Arabidopsis thaliana: one gene and its partners. The protein of the gene in region 3 purifies or fractionates together with the protein of the main gene of each other region. This does not show direct contact. Each region holds a gene or a part of one and is shown on either strand. Other genes may lie near its edges. The genes, in order: CDPK6, ROC2 and CAM7.

The links.
Region 1: the proteins of CAM7 (region 3) and CDPK6 purify together in Arabidopsis thaliana (affinity purification with western blotting, with the first as the bait; one study listed by BioGRID). This does not show direct contact.
Region 2: the proteins of CAM7 (region 3) and ROC2 purify together in Arabidopsis thaliana (affinity purification with western blotting, with the first as the bait; one study listed by BioGRID). This does not show direct contact.

The regions. Positions count from the first base shown.
Region 1 is NC_003075.7:12,324,118-12,329,432, reverse strand, and holds CDPK6 (calcium-dependent protein kinase 6), read left to right. Parts: upstream 1-1,781; 5' UTR 1,782-2,017; coding exon 2,018-2,427; intron 2,428-2,671; coding exon 2,672-2,958; intron 2,959-3,037; coding exon 3,038-3,181; intron 3,182-3,272; coding exon 3,273-3,425; intron 3,426-3,515; coding exon 3,516-3,631; intron 3,632-3,732; coding exon 3,733-3,900; intron 3,901-3,968; coding exon 3,969-4,096; intron 4,097-4,183; coding exon 4,184-4,283; intron 4,284-4,382; coding exon 4,383-4,466; 3' UTR 4,467-4,675; downstream 4,676-5,315. Other genes in the region: PPT1 (polyprenyltransferase 1), read left to right, coding at 92-161, 248-397, 506-571, 861-996, 1,088-1,184, 1,278-1,347; TRH1 (Potassium transporter family protein), read left to right, coding at 5,142-5,144. UniProt on the Arabidopsis thaliana protein: May play a role in signal transduction pathways that involve calcium as a second messenger. Functions in abscisic acid (ABA) regulation of guard cell S-type anion- and Ca(2+)-permeable channels and stomatal closure.
Region 2 is NC_003074.8:20,806,045-20,810,160, forward strand, and holds ROC2 (rotamase cyclophilin 2), read right to left. Parts: upstream 2,125-4,116; 5' UTR 1,981-2,124; exon of another isoform or gene 1,808-1,980; intron 1,480-1,807; 5' UTR 1,474-1,479; coding exon 943-1,473; 3' UTR 522-942; downstream 1-521. UniProt on the Arabidopsis thaliana protein: PPIases accelerate the folding of proteins. It catalyzes the cis-trans isomerization of proline imidic peptide bonds in oligopeptides.
Region 3 is NC_003074.8:15,662,420-15,668,135, forward strand, and holds CAM7 (calmodulin 7), read right to left. Parts: upstream 4,051-5,716; 5' UTR 3,937-4,050; coding exon 3,861-3,936; exon of another isoform or gene 3,215-3,860; intron 3,062-3,214; exon of another isoform or gene 2,574-3,061; coding exon 2,204-2,573; coding exon of another isoform or gene 2,200-2,203; exon of another isoform or gene 1,713-2,199; intron 968-1,712; coding exon 769-967; 3' UTR 581-768; downstream 1-580. UniProt on the Arabidopsis thaliana protein: Calmodulin mediates the control of a large number of enzymes, ion channels and other proteins by Ca(2+). Among the enzymes to be stimulated by the calmodulin-Ca(2+) complex are a number of protein kinases and phosphatases. Activates MPK8 in vitro.

The DNA of each region.
Region 1 (5,315 bases), on a different chromosome or scaffold from region 3:
AAATTCTGAAGATATGTTCTCAGGTCTTGTCTTTAGTTTTGTGATCAAATTCTTTTCTACTTGAGCTCATTTCAGTATGTATATTCTGCAGCCGTGTTTTAGGGGCTTCATCTTTGTTACTTGTCTTTTCCTACCCACTTATGAAGAGGTTTACATTTTGGGTAATTTAAATCTATTCTGGCTTCTCAAAGTTAGACATTATATATTTTCTGATTTTCTTATGATTGATTCGTTTTTATAATTGCAGCCTCAAGCCTTTTTAGGTTTGACCATAAACTGGGGAGCATTGTTAGGATGGACTGCAGTTAAAGGAAGCATAGCACCATCTATTGTACTCCCTCTCTATCTCTCCGGAGTCTGCTGGACCCTTGTTTATGATACTATTTATGCACATCAGGTATATTCACTTTTTATTTTTTAGCTTCAAAATCTATTTGATTATGACCAGTAGCAAAGTAGTTAATCTCAATGTGTGCATATTGCTTGCTTTGTTTTCTTTTTCTAGCTTCACCACCACAGATTTCTTTTTCAGCTTTTGTTTCATGTCTCATGCAAATGCATCCATTTCGATGTTCGACTTTTGTCAATCATAAAGAAGAAAATTACCCTGATCTCCCACCTTTTCCATCTGATTTCTATACTTTAAGTGAAGAGTTAGCCCCATAAAAGTCTTCCCGTTTGCAACAGAAGTGAGAAAAGAAAGTTACCTTTGTGGCCCATTGAAAATGAAATAGTATATGCCACAAGCTACGAACCCAAAATTTCAGCTCAAGTTCAGTTTTTATGCAAGTAATTTTGAGATATTCTAGGTTAAATCATTTTTTTTCCATGGACTAATGTCTAATATATTGTGTCTCCAGGACAAAGAAGATGATGTAAAAGTTGGTGTTAAGTCAACAGCCCTTAGATTCGGTGATAATACAAAGCTTTGGTTAACTGGATTTGGCACAGCATCCATAGGTTTTCTTGCACTTTCTGGATTCAGTGCAGATCTCGGTACTCAATAAACTTTACAAGGACTCATTTGTGATTCCTAATTCCATTTACTGTCTTTTGATTCTTTTTGTTTCTCGCTCTAATGATTAAGGGTGGCAATATTACGCATCACTGGCCGCTGCATCAGGACAGTTAGGATGGCAAATAGGGACAGCTGACTTATCATCTGGTGCTGACTGCAGTAGAAAGTATGAAAATTTGGGTTTATCTTTTGTACTCTTTCACAATCCAATTATGTGATTTGCCTTGGAAAACCTAATAGTGTTTTTATATCTGTACAGATTTGTGTCGAACAAGTGGTTTGGTGCTATTATATTTAGTGGAGTTGTACTTGGAAGAAGTTTTCAATAAAGACTCTCTCTCTGTCAACGAATGAGGATGAAGCTGTAGTGTGAGGAACCTATATATGAAGAATTGAAGTAGACTTTTGAGACACACTGTAAGTGAAACAGAGGACATGGTCTTGCTACAAAGTGGGTCTCCTTCAGGATTGAAATGATCAAGGAGCCATTGCCAGAAAAGCTGAAACTTAACTCTTTTAGATTAGTGACTAGTTACTACTGGTTCTTGTAAAAGAAGCTATTGTTGTTGTTTGGGATCCATGTCTTTTCTTCCAGGAGGTAGTTTGGCTGTATGTATACAATGATCATGACCTTCTGGTCAAACAAGAGGCTTTACTTTTGGCTTTTATAGTTGACATACGCAATATCATTGATTTTGTAACCTAAAGGATGTTAATAACTTTTCCTTTTTCAATCTCAAATTGCAAAAGATTAACATTGAATTAGCCGTGTGATTGATTGGAGAAGTGGAAACAACTAATATGCAGAAGATTTCCACATCCACTAATTTATCTTCCAATGGGACAAATACTTTTGTTTATACGCGGTTCAACTACGTACCAATAAAAACACGCCACGTGGTCATCGTGTCTGATCTCAGACATTAAAAAGCCATAAGAATCGGAGATACAATCTTTCTCTCTCGATTGACTTTATTGACTGAGAGAAAGCTTTTGACAATGGGCCACAGACACAGCAAGTCCAAATCCTCCGATCCGCCACCGTCCTCCTCCTCCTCTTCCTCCGGCAACGTAGTCCACCATGTTAAACCTGCCGGAGAACGCCGCGGATCATCCGGTTCCGGAACCGTCGGATCGTCAGGCTCCGGAACAGGCGGATCTCGTTCCACCACATCTACTCAGCAGAATGGTCGGATCTTAGGTCGGCCGATGGAGGAAGTACGGAGAACCTATGAGTTTGGTCGTGAGCTTGGTCGTGGCCAGTTTGGTGTCACGTACCTCGTAACTCACAAAGAGACGAAACAACAGGTCGCTTGCAAGTCAATCCCTACGCGCCGCCTTGTTCACAAAGACGACATTGAAGATGTTCGCCGTGAAGTCCAGATTATGCACCATCTCAGCGGTCACCGGTAAATCTCTTTTTTTGTATCTCACTGGAAAATGCTTCTTTGACATTTTCCGAAATCGAATCTGAAACGCCTTTTGTTGGAATATTGGTGAATATTTAGACATAGGATTCGTTTTCTATATTAATGAATGGTTTGCATCATATGTGGATGAAAAGTTTGGTGGTCCTATGTTAAACTCTTGAAAAAGTTTCCCTTTTTGCATATTTATATTTACCTGAGTTTCAAATTGGTGAGTTGATTATAGGAACATAGTGGACTTGAAGGGAGCCTACGAGGACAGACACTCTGTGAATCTGATAATGGAGTTGTGTGAAGGAGGGGAATTGTTCGATAGGATCATTTCTAAAGGTCTTTACTCAGAGAGAGCTGCTGCGGATTTGTGTAGGCAGATGGTGATGGTTGTGCATAGTTGTCATTCTATGGGTGTAATGCACCGAGACTTGAAGCCCGAAAACTTTCTCTTTCTTAGTAAAGATGAGAACTCACCATTGAAAGCTACAGACTTTGGTCTCTCTGTCTTCTTCAAGCCAGGTTTGAACAGCCTCTATCCTTCCCTATTTGATTTCTATAGACAATTTATCCCTCTAATGAAGTTGATCCATTAATGCAGGTGATAAGTTTAAGGATCTTGTTGGAAGTGCATACTATGTTGCCCCAGAAGTTCTAAAACGGAACTATGGACCAGAGGCTGATATCTGGAGTGCTGGTGTGATTCTATACATCCTTCTCAGTGGTGTTCCGCCTTTCTGGGGAGGTATTGTCTTGATCTTATTTGAGAAGAGAATTTGGTTTCACTGTTTAAATGTTGGACTGGAATGTATAGTCACGTTCTTTCTGTTGTGCAGAAAATGAAACGGGGATCTTTGATGCCATTCTTCAAGGGCAACTTGATTTTTCAGCTGATCCATGGCCAGCACTATCAGATGGTGCCAAAGATCTTGTGAGGAAAATGTTAAAATATGACCCTAAAGATCGGCTTACAGCTGCGGAAGTGCTAAGTAAGACCCCTTTATAACATGTTTTGATGAATAAATTGATGAAAACACCTTCTTTTATCCAATTTTAATAACGTTTTGATACATACGCAGATCATCCGTGGATTAGAGAAGATGGGGAGGCATCAGACAAACCGCTTGACAATGCGGTGTTATCCAGGATGAAACAATTCCGGGCGATGAACAAACTAAAAAAAATGGCCCTGAAGGTAATTAAAACACTGATTGAAACAGTCTTACCATCACTATTGTAGTTTATGTAGTCTTCTTGTTCTAAAGCCAATCTTTGGTTTTCGTTTTGCAATTTCAGGTTATCGCTGAGAACCTTTCTGAAGAAGAAATCATTGGTCTTAAAGAGATGTTCAAATCTCTAGACACTGATAACAATGGAATAGTCACCTTGGAGGAATTGAGAACCGGTCTCCCAAAACTTGGTTCAAAGATCTCTGAAGCTGAAATAAGGCAGTTAATGGAAGCAGTAAGTCTATCACAATCCACTACTTTGATGTCAAAGCAATAATGCTTATGATGCTTTGTTTCTTTTAGGCTGATATGGATGGAGATGGATCAATTGATTACTTGGAGTTTATATCAGCCACAATGCATATGAACAGAATCGAACGTGAGGATCACTTGTACACCGCATTCCAGTTCTTTGACAATGACAACAGCGGGTAAAACATTGTTCTTTAGCTCTCTATTTCTTTCTTTAACAAGCTATAAATAAAGTCTCACTCTTTGATCTTGATTTGTGATATTAGCTACATAACAATGGAAGAGCTAGAGCTAGCCATGAAGAAATACAACATGGGTGATGATAAATCCATCAAAGAGATCATTGCTGAAGTAGACACCGATCGTGTAAGTATACGTAAATCTCTGGTTTCGTCCAATTCATACATCTGTAAGTATACGTGTAAGTTTAACACTCTCTTCTCATCTTTGTATTCGAATCTTTAGGACGGAAAAATCAACTACGAAGAATTTGTAGCGATGATGAAGAAGGGAAATCCAGAATTGGTGCCAAACCGACGCAGAATGTGAGAGATCTTTTGATGTTGTTTGTTTGTTTTTGGTTATCACTTTACTCAAACTTTGTGTTTCTGTTACAATCAATTATTTTGTTTCCTGCAATCTCTTTTTATCAACACAACATAAAAAATACTTTGAGATCAGAAAGCCATTTGCAGGTTTGGTTAATGACTTATGAGAGATTCAATATATAATAATTACAGGTTGATTCTTGCATGATTTGAAGCTGAAATTCACTTAAAAAATTATAGAATGATAATCTTAACCCTTACAAACAAATTTGAGATTATATCTAATCAAGGCAATAAAAAAATAAGCAAGGTGCAGTAGGAGGGATTAGAAGTTTCAAATCCGATTTTTATACATGAAAAATGACGAAATCTAATAATCTTGGTGACATTTTCTCACAGAGAAATCGGACAACTAAAATGAGTAAAAAAAATTAAAAGAACGAATAAAAAATCAACTGAGATATATATAAAAAAAAAACTGGAAGAAGAAGAAGGACCGCGAGCTTTGGATCGAATTTGTTAAATTTTTCTTCTCTCGATAATAAAAACAACAAATGATCGTTGATCGTTTTTCTCTAGATTCGATTCCGATTCCAAAGAACTAGTCTCCGGCGTGTAATCTCTGATCGTTGAAGATCCAAGCTACGCCGCATCTTACTCGCCGGCGGCTTGAATCATGGTATGTCGCTCCCTTCTCTCGACCGATACGTCGGAAATCTTAAACCCCTAGATTCCTTATTGCTACTCCTGCGGAATTACAATTGTTGTACTGTGATGATGTGAATAGAAATGGTGAGAGAATTCTGAAAATGAATGATGCCAATATTCATTGAATTTAGCTTCTGATTCT
Region 2 (4,116 bases), 5.1 Mb from region 3:
ATTTATAAACCAACATTTAGAAAAGAAAAAACAAACAGGAACATCTCTCACGGTTGCGGCAAAAGTCTTATTCGATGATAACCTGGCTTCGACCTCTTTATTTTTTCTAGCACATTTAAGTCAACGGATTATAGTATTTTCCATCTTAGACTTTGATTTGTTACATAGTAATAATTATACTTTTAACCCCAGGGTCCTTATTATACAAAGTTTAAGTTTTTTTGTTGTTGTTTTCCAAAAAAATGATGATTTGACCAAATCAAATTATTGTGGTAATTTTGACGAGGTGGTGCAGCATGGCTGGCCACTATGTTGGAATCCAAGTGGTCAAGAAATGTGAATAAAATGGTTTTAAGAAATGTATAAAATAACGAAGCTAATACCAAAGAGTTGGCTAGACTTTAAGTTACATTAATTGCCAAGGCAAACTAGTTGTTGGAGTATTTAAAGAAGACTGTCCAAATATTGTTGGCTATTGACTATTGATGCTGAAACTTAACCATAAGTAGAAACTACTCAAAGAAATGTGTGATGCGTTGGCTAAACAATATTTATCATCACATGATCAGAAAGTTTATCTTGTTCTGCATATGAAGTGAAATCTGCCCAATTCGAAAAGTCAGCAATTTTGGATACATATTCGCAAATGAGTCCTAAGAAGAGTTTGGTTCATTCATATTAACTACACCAAAATAAGAAAGCTACAAAACCAAATGTCTTCATAAAGAAACTAACCATTATTATCATCCATCCTATTCTCACACAAGAGTTTTAAGAAAACAACTTACAAGGATGGACCACTTCCTAAGGTTCATATGATATAGTCAAAACCAAAGTAGTGCATCACAGACTAGATTGACCTTAACGCTAAGATGCTGTCTCTGCTTCACAGCATATGATAGAATAACCTGTCAAGATCAACCCACCCAATGTTTTAAGAACTTATGAACTTGGGTTCTTGAGCTCACCACAATCTTCAATCACAACTCGTTCAGAAGGATTTCCCATGTCAGAGCCAACATCCTCCATTGCCTTGACCACATTGTATCCATCAACAACTTTCCCGAAAACAACATGTTTCCCATCAAGCCACGAAGTCTTCTCTGTGCAGATGAAGAACTGAGAACCATTAGTGTTGGGACCAGAGTTAGCCATAGACAAAATCCCTGGACCAGTGTGCTTCAACTTGAAGTTCTCATCTTCAAATTTAGACCCGTAAATAGATTCTCCTCCAGTTCCATTCCCACGAGTGAAATCTCCACCTTGACACATGAACCCTGGGATTATACGGTGAAAGGCTGAGCCTTTGTAGTGTAAAGCCTTCCCTGCTTTCCCAATACCATTCTCCCCAGTGCACAAAGCACGGAAATTATTAGCTGTTCTCGGAGTCACATCTGCAAATAACTCCATTACAACACGCCCTGCCTTCATCTTACCAATCAAGATGTCGAAGAAGACTTTAGGATTCGCCATTTTACTCTGTCAATTACAAAGATATGAATCAGCAGATGGTCCCAAATTCTAATTGGTATATAAGAGACTAAATCATGCAAACAAAGGTCCCAAATTGTTCAAACAACAACAATTGTGAGATTACCACTCTATGAGCACCTTAAAGTAAACTAGATAAAACCCAAGTGGTACTATTTTCCGATCAATGCAGACGAATAAGGATTCAATTATTCAGATCTGACTCAGATTTTCTCATACAATGTTAAAAATCATAAAACCGATTAATAAATGTCCCATCCATCGAAATTGTCGATAAGAAAAGATAAATTCTTATAACACAGAGATTTATCGAAACCTCAAATGGATGGTTTTAGGATATTGCACAAATATTGAGCTCGCAGGCGTTTTTTATTATACGTTATCTGCAAGCCTTCGATATGTGCTTTTAACGCGATAAAACGCAAAATCGAAGAAATAGAGAAGCAAAAATCATCGAAAACATGAATTGGGTTCACCGAAATGAAGTACCTTTGCAGAGGCAATCTCAAATTCGTCTTCTCAAGGAGCGAGTGAAGGATTTATATAACGGCTCAATGGCACAAGGGCTTTGGGGGCTAGGGTTTTACTAGGGCTTTTGATTGTTTGAGTTGAGACAGAGAGATCTGTTTTCTCGGTTTTGCCCTTTTTTATTTTCTTACCGTCACAGTCTCATCAAAAAGCCCATATGATTCAGGCCCATTATTAAAACTACCATCCAAGAAATATAATCGTTTCGTTGGACTTGGACCCAACAACAAACCCCATTTCACATTGGTTCGTGTGAGCTAATTAAAGCTTTAATAAGCTATCTAATTTCAATCTCGTGTTGCTATCTTAATAAGCTCTTTAACAACATAAATCTCAATGTTTTGAGATTGCTTTCAAAGTTAACTATTTGATGTTCATTACAAGAGACTATATATATATGAACCTAGTTGCTTAGATCTAATTAAATGAGCTTTGGAAAATAAATTACATAGGACACTTGGGCTTTTCGGATGATTTATAATCTTGGCCTTATTATGAATGCTCTAATAAAACAAGAAGAAATGGATTCTCTGGTCGCTTGGACTTGTGTTAGTGGTTTATTAGCAAAGAGAAAGTGTCCAACAACAGAAGTGCAACAGAAGTGCAGAGTCTTTCCGAAAAATCAGATCATAGAACAATGCTTTTGAAGAGATGGTTATTAGGTGGACAAGACTCTACATTATATATTATAATATTCAGATTATCTTTATACTATTAACCACTCCATAATGTTACAAACAACCAATCTTAATGTAAAAAGTGAAAAACTAAATGAGAAGCAATATCAGATATTATAGAGCTAATAAGATTCTTCTTTTTCCTCTCTAACTCTCTTTCTTCAAGACCGATCTCACCCAATGATAAGTGAAATGGGGCGACGATAAGACTTCTTCCTCTCAATATTTACTCTAATGACTTCAGCATCCTTTTGACTTCAGATGTTTATAAGGTGGACAAGAGTCAGCACTAAACAGTATGTAGTATAATATTTGACGTTCAAACTATCTTTATACTACTAATCACTCTACAGTGTTAGAAATAGACAATTTTAATGTAAAACGTGGAAATCATCGATTAGGAAAAACAAATGTTTTCAATTATGGTTGGACTGTTGAGGGTTTCAATTATATTGACCACCAGAGCTAACCAAATATCATTTTCTGATTGACTTCCCTCAGAATATCTTATACTGATTCCTGAATATCTTTTTAAAAGGGCTTTTCGGATGTCATCTTTAATACCAGAAATAGACTTAGGATTCTTTGACCAAAGAGAAATAGTTCAGATGTGTATGCTATAGATTTTTTTGCACAAACTCTGAACCTATCTTTCAATCTAATAGGTTATGATGGAGGTAGATCATTTTATAAAGTGATTTAATCCATGAACCGATTACTCATTTTAACATCTAGTTAATCAAATTTAAATTATTTTTGAAAAATCACAATGGCAATTTTAGTAGTTTATGCTGAAATTCACATAATTATTTTACTTAGATAATAGTATTAATTATCCGGTGATTATCCAAATCACTATTCTGAAATAATGAAATTATATAATGGTCCGGTGATTATCCAAATCGTCATTTCATTAGTTTCATTATTGATTTCATAAAATAACTCAATGTCTTTAATATTATTCGTAAATGTCTCTTTTAATCTTATGTGTTATTTTATATGTCATTTTAAAAAATTGTCAAAACTCTCTAAAATTTTAAATCGTCAAAATCATCTAAATTTTTATCTAAACTCAAATCACTTCAACTCCTTCATCAAATCACTTCACTTCAAATCATTGGAATTTTGCATTGAAACAAAATATAATATTTATTTCCAAAACATATTCATTTGATTTTGGATCTATTTGTTTGAGCCATAGATGGAGAATCTGCTGACGGAAATATATACCCGGCGTCAATGTTGTTCTTGGTATGGATTTCGTTCCATTTATTTGCTTGTTTTAGACAGAGAGATGTTTTCTTCGTTTTGCCCTCTTATTTCACTATTTTACATTTTTGCTTTCAATAACAGTTGTCCAAAAAGAAAAAAAAAAGAAAAAACTTTCAGTAACAGATCAAAAAGCCCATATTAAGATTTA
Region 3 (5,716 bases):
CTCATTTGTTTTTCTACTTTTATCTCTCAGTTGTTACAAGACTGTTTAGTGTGTTATAGTTTTTGTTTCTTTAATTTTTTTAACCTTTTTCTTTGAGTTTGTTTAGAAAACAGTACATTTCCGTAACTTAATTGGAGAAGTAGTACAATTACTATTTATAATTACTAAAATATTCGAAAAAGTTTTTGTTTGGTGAGAGAGAAAGAGAGGTGTAACAGATTTAAATAAAGAGAAAGAGAGCATTTGAGAGGGAGACGTGGGTCAAAAAAAATTTTCTAATTTTTTTTTCTTTTCTTTATTACATTTCATTCTCTCAAAGTTTAATAATTAAAATACTTGTTTGTAAATTTTATTTTTCTAAAATTGATCATAGAAAAAAAAATCTATGTTTATCGTTTAATTGTTAACATTTCGGCGGTTGGAGACACTACTGGTTTTGTTTATCGTTTATCGTTTACAAGATGAATATAAATCTATAAAACTGTTAAAATTCTAAATTCCTAGAGATAAACTTGGTAACTTAATTTTTTTTCTTAGGACTAAACTAAATGGTTTGAATCCAAGTACATAATTGTTAGTCCTCTACCAGCGGCTCGCATGGTAATCCACCAACCAATCTTTTCTTTATGCCATTACGTAGCCTATATACAAGGTTATTATTATGTTTTTTAAACAATCCCTCGATATATGCAAGTTATCTACTATTAGCTTTCACTATTCTTCGTCTTCATTGTTTTAAGTTAGTTCTTGATCAGCAAGTACAGTGAGCTATAGAATCGAGCAAGAATGAGAGCGGTGGCAGAGGAGATTCAAACGGCTAGGAACGCGATGTGACTCGGGCTGTGAGGGGTTATGCTGGATCAATTCTTTCTCATTCCTTTTAGCATTTTTGGTCTTCTTCTTTTTCTTTTTCTTCTTCTTCTTCTTCCTTTTCTTTATCAATTTACTTGCGCATTCCCAAACATGACTGAGAACAAGAAACAATAAAAACCGAGTAGTTGGTTCCTTCTTTCTTTGGGGTTTAGAAATGAAGAAGATAATAGAATTAACTGTAAAATGTCAATTCTTTTTTGTTTCTTAGTTCGTCACAAAAAAAAAAAAAAGAGAAGAGAGATATATGAACTGAATTGCATAAAAAGAGTCTTACATATTACTAAAGAAAACTTAATGAGCTTGAATGTTAAATTGACAATAACTAAATTAGAAAAACTCTATAAAAACAAACTTATAGTTTATACGGGCCGACCGGATCAGTCGATAAGATTTATTAAAAAAACAAAAAACAAACAAATTTATGGTTCTATTAGTATATAGTTGATACTAATACTAGAACTATGAGTCTATGACTAGTATAGTGGAAATTATAATAATTGTTATAAATATAACTTTAATGACTAACTTGTAAATACTAAAAGTTGATTTTGCATAAAATAAAATATAATTCAATTTTAATATAGAAAAAAATTAAACAATTGAGGAAAATTTATATCTATAATTAAATAAACATATAAAATAAAATTAAATAAAAAACATATAGAACAAACTATTATATACGTTTATGTGTATTATAAATCCAAATATCAAATTCAAATTAGAGCTAATGTTATAGTAAGAAAAATGTCTATACGTAGATAAATTAGTTTTTTTTCAAATATAATCTAGGGGAGAACCACACAAGATGGAGTAGTTTGACAGTACTATTACTCACAAGATAGGCCTTCATCAGCTAATAAACCCTCACAACCTTAACAGCCTTATCAACCATACCATTGGGCCTTAAGTGGGTATTTGAAATAGAAAATGTTTGATCCCAAGAACTTTTACTACTACTTTGTTCTTGCAAAGACACTAAATTTTAAACAATTACAGTGCACGTTTTTGCAACTAGTAAGCAATTATTTCTCCACGTAATGGATATAATTAGTCGATCTCAATAAACTGCAATATTTTAGAGAAAAGAGAAAATAACATCATCAAGTGGTCATGACTCGAGAGACTAAAGCAAATTATGAGTTCAAACGTCACGGACAATAACAAAACCAAAAGGCAAAGAAGAAGCAACGTTACCAAAAAATCACGATCAACAAAACAAACAAGGAAGCAAATCTCTCTGTTTCTTTTGGTTCAATAAATTACTTTTCTCAGTTTTAAAGATGTAAAAGAAAAACATGCTTAGGATTTCGAGGGATAAGAAGAATCTCACTTTGCCATCATGACTTTGACGAACTCTTCATAGTTGATCTGACCATCACCATCGACGTCAGCCTCTCGGATCATCTCATCGACTTCCTCATCCGTCAACTTCTCCCCAAGATTTGTCATCACGTGACGAAGCTCAGCCGCCGAGATGAAACCGTTCTGGTCCTTGTCAAAAACCCTGAAGGCTTCCTTAAGCTCTTCCTCTGAATCAGTGTCTTTCATCTTACGTGCCATTAGGTTCAGGAACTCTGGGAAATCTATTGTCCCGTTCCCGTCTGCATCCACTTCGTTGATCATGTCCTGGAGCTCGGCTTCTGTCGGGTTCTGCCCAAGTGATCTCATCACAGTCCCAAGCTCCTTTGTGGTGATACAACCTGCAATCAAACCAAAATTGGACACAACTTCAGATTTTGTAACGCAAGAGTTCCGAGTATAACTTTATGAACACTAATATTGTCAACAAGATCAGGAAGATATATAAACCAATTATCTTAAACACAAGTAATATGTCAAGTTTTCAAATGCAAGAAAGCTCAAAAATGCTCTTAGTAAAATATCCTTACACTACTAACCCCAATCATAGTATATCTCATTTAAAAGGACGACGATTCGACAAGTAAAACTGATTGTTCGGAAATCATCTACCAAGTTAACAAAGAAACTTCTTGCACACAAACCACCAAGCAACATTTAAAGCCTCTTTCTAATCAAAGGCCAGGAAATGCACAATGTTCTAAATATGATGGTATTCTCTTAGTAATCAAAGGCCAGGAAATGCACAATGTTCTAAATATGATGTTATTCTCTTAGTAATCAAAGGCCAGGAAATGCACCTATTCTCACAAGAAAGCTCAAAAATGCTCTTAGTAAAATACTCTTAAACCCCAATCATAGTATACGACAAGTAAAACTGATTGTTCGGGAAACATCTACCAAGTTAACAAAGAAACTTTTTGCACACAAACCACCAAGCAACATTTAAAGCCTCTTTCTAATCAAAGGCCAGGAAATGCACAATGTTCTAAATATGATGGTATTGCCAATAAGCATCACAAAATGCACACCGTTGCAAGTTCTCAACTATTGTAAAGAAGAACAACAGAGATGATATTATCAACTTCTTTCTCTATTTTTCTATTTGGCAACATCACACAATAAACCAAATTTCGTTTTTTAGATTTTGAGTATAAACATCTGCAGATAAATCTACATGTTACAATTGAATCTTAAAACCACAATGCCACTAAATTTTGTGAGAACGTACAAATCCGCATGATTATAATCACAGGATTTGTTCAGAATCATAGTAAATCACAGAGAAACAACTAGATTCCAATGTACGATTCCAATGTAGGATCTAGAATATGATGAATAACCTAATTAAACAAGATTCCATAACTACAAATCTTAGTAATCATCAACGAATATACTAAAGGAGATTCTACATATTCTAGATCCTTCTATAGAAGCAAAAATCAACCCTAAACACTCTGGAGATGTGAGCAAGACTGAACGAATCAAAACGAGATCGTTCTTCAAATCACATGAAACAATAAACGAAATGTGCAGAGATTCACGATCACCGCGAAGAAATCTAAAAAAAAAACGACAAGAGAAAGAGATCTGAGAGAAGAAGAAGAAGAAGAAGAAGAAGAAGAGACCATCTCCGTCTTTGTCGAATAGGCTAAAAGCTTCCTTGAACTCGGAGATCTGGTCATCGGTTAGCTGATCCGCCATTTTTTTTGTCTTCTTCGGATTTTCTCGAGAAAATTTTTGCTGTGATATTTTCTTGTTTCTGGAGAAAGTTGAAGCGCGTGAGAGTGAATGTTCCTTCTCCTTTATAAAATGAGATCTCACCAGCTACAGGTAAAATGAGGTATTTTTGAATTGACGATTTTGCCCTCCTAAACGTCTTTCTCTTTTAATTTCTCAGACCAAAAAATTAAGAAATTCTAGTTTTGGGAGAAATTTGTTTTTTAGGTTTGCAACTTAGTTTTTACTATTTTAGGCTAATCTACTAACTACTTATGTCCAGATCATGAACTTTCTGCTAATAGTTTTGAATTTGATATTTTTGTATTATTGTTATGGTATCTTGGTATGATATATATTGATGTAACCTGATATTATACATTGATATCCAAACATTGGTGTAGGCAATTTGATAAAATTCATTTTCTATTTGCTAAGTTTATTTTAGGGTAATATTAGATAACCAAATAAAACATACAAATTAAGAAACTAGTAGAGAGAAAGTTTTTTGTTACAAAATAACCATGGACCCATGTTGTCGGAAGAAATGAAATAACAAAGCTACCTTTCATTTGTTGTAAGATGAACTGTAAACGAAACACATTCGTGTAATTTTTCAAAATAACATGTAACATTAAAATTTCACATGTTATATTTAGTTTTAAAACATGCTATTTAAAAAAACGTCATGAATTTTTAAGAAAAAACATTATTATGAAATTTTCTTACATGAACATAATCCTTAAAAAAAATTTATATGTGATTTTAATAAAACCGTGTATTACTAAAAAATAAGAATATATTTTTAAAGAAATCACGTGTGATCTTAATAAAAAATGTGTATTACTACAAAATATCATGATAAAAAGAGATATTAAACTGAATAGAATGTTTTTTCCATAAAATACCATGTGCTTTTTATAAATACTATGTAATAAGAGAAAATAACAAGATAAAAAGAGATATTATGTTATCGCATGTATTTCGGAAAAAAAACATGTTACAAAGGATATTTATGTAATTACATGTGTTCTCCAATATGTTTCCGACAAGCTACTGTGACTCAAGGTTAGTTTGTACATTCTTTTCAAATCTATAATCATTTATTATAAATTCTCTTTATTTTATCACATTTCAAAATTATAACACAAGAAAGAAAATGGTTAGACAATAAATATTAGTAGACGATTGAGAATGATTTTACGGTTTTTCCGTAATTTAGTAGAAAATTTTTGTAGAAAAATTTCCCGCCAATTGCGTTGATTTTACGATTTTTAAAAAATTTATATAATTGTCATCAATTATTTTTATAGTTTACAATTATTATTAAGTAGCACTATACCACAAAATATTTTTTGATTTTATATAATCTTTTCTAATCAGACTGATTTGATAAGTGGTGCTAAAAATAATAAATTAAAGATTTAACCCGTATTCCAAAAAATAAAAAAATTCTAGTTTTGTGACAAATTTGTTTTTTAGGTTTGTAACTTAATTTTTACTAACTTAGGCTAATCTACTAACTACTTATGTCCAGATCATGAATTTTCTGCTAATAGTAAAGCAAAAATCAGATTTTCATATTGAATTTGATATTTCTGTATTATTGTTATGGTATCTTGATATTTCATATTGAATTTGATACATTGATGTAACCTGATATTCTATATTGATGTCCAAACGTTGGTCTAGGCGATTTTAACGTTAGTATATATTAAGGTTTACAACTTGTATCTATTTAAAGAAAAATTATATTTTATAGTTT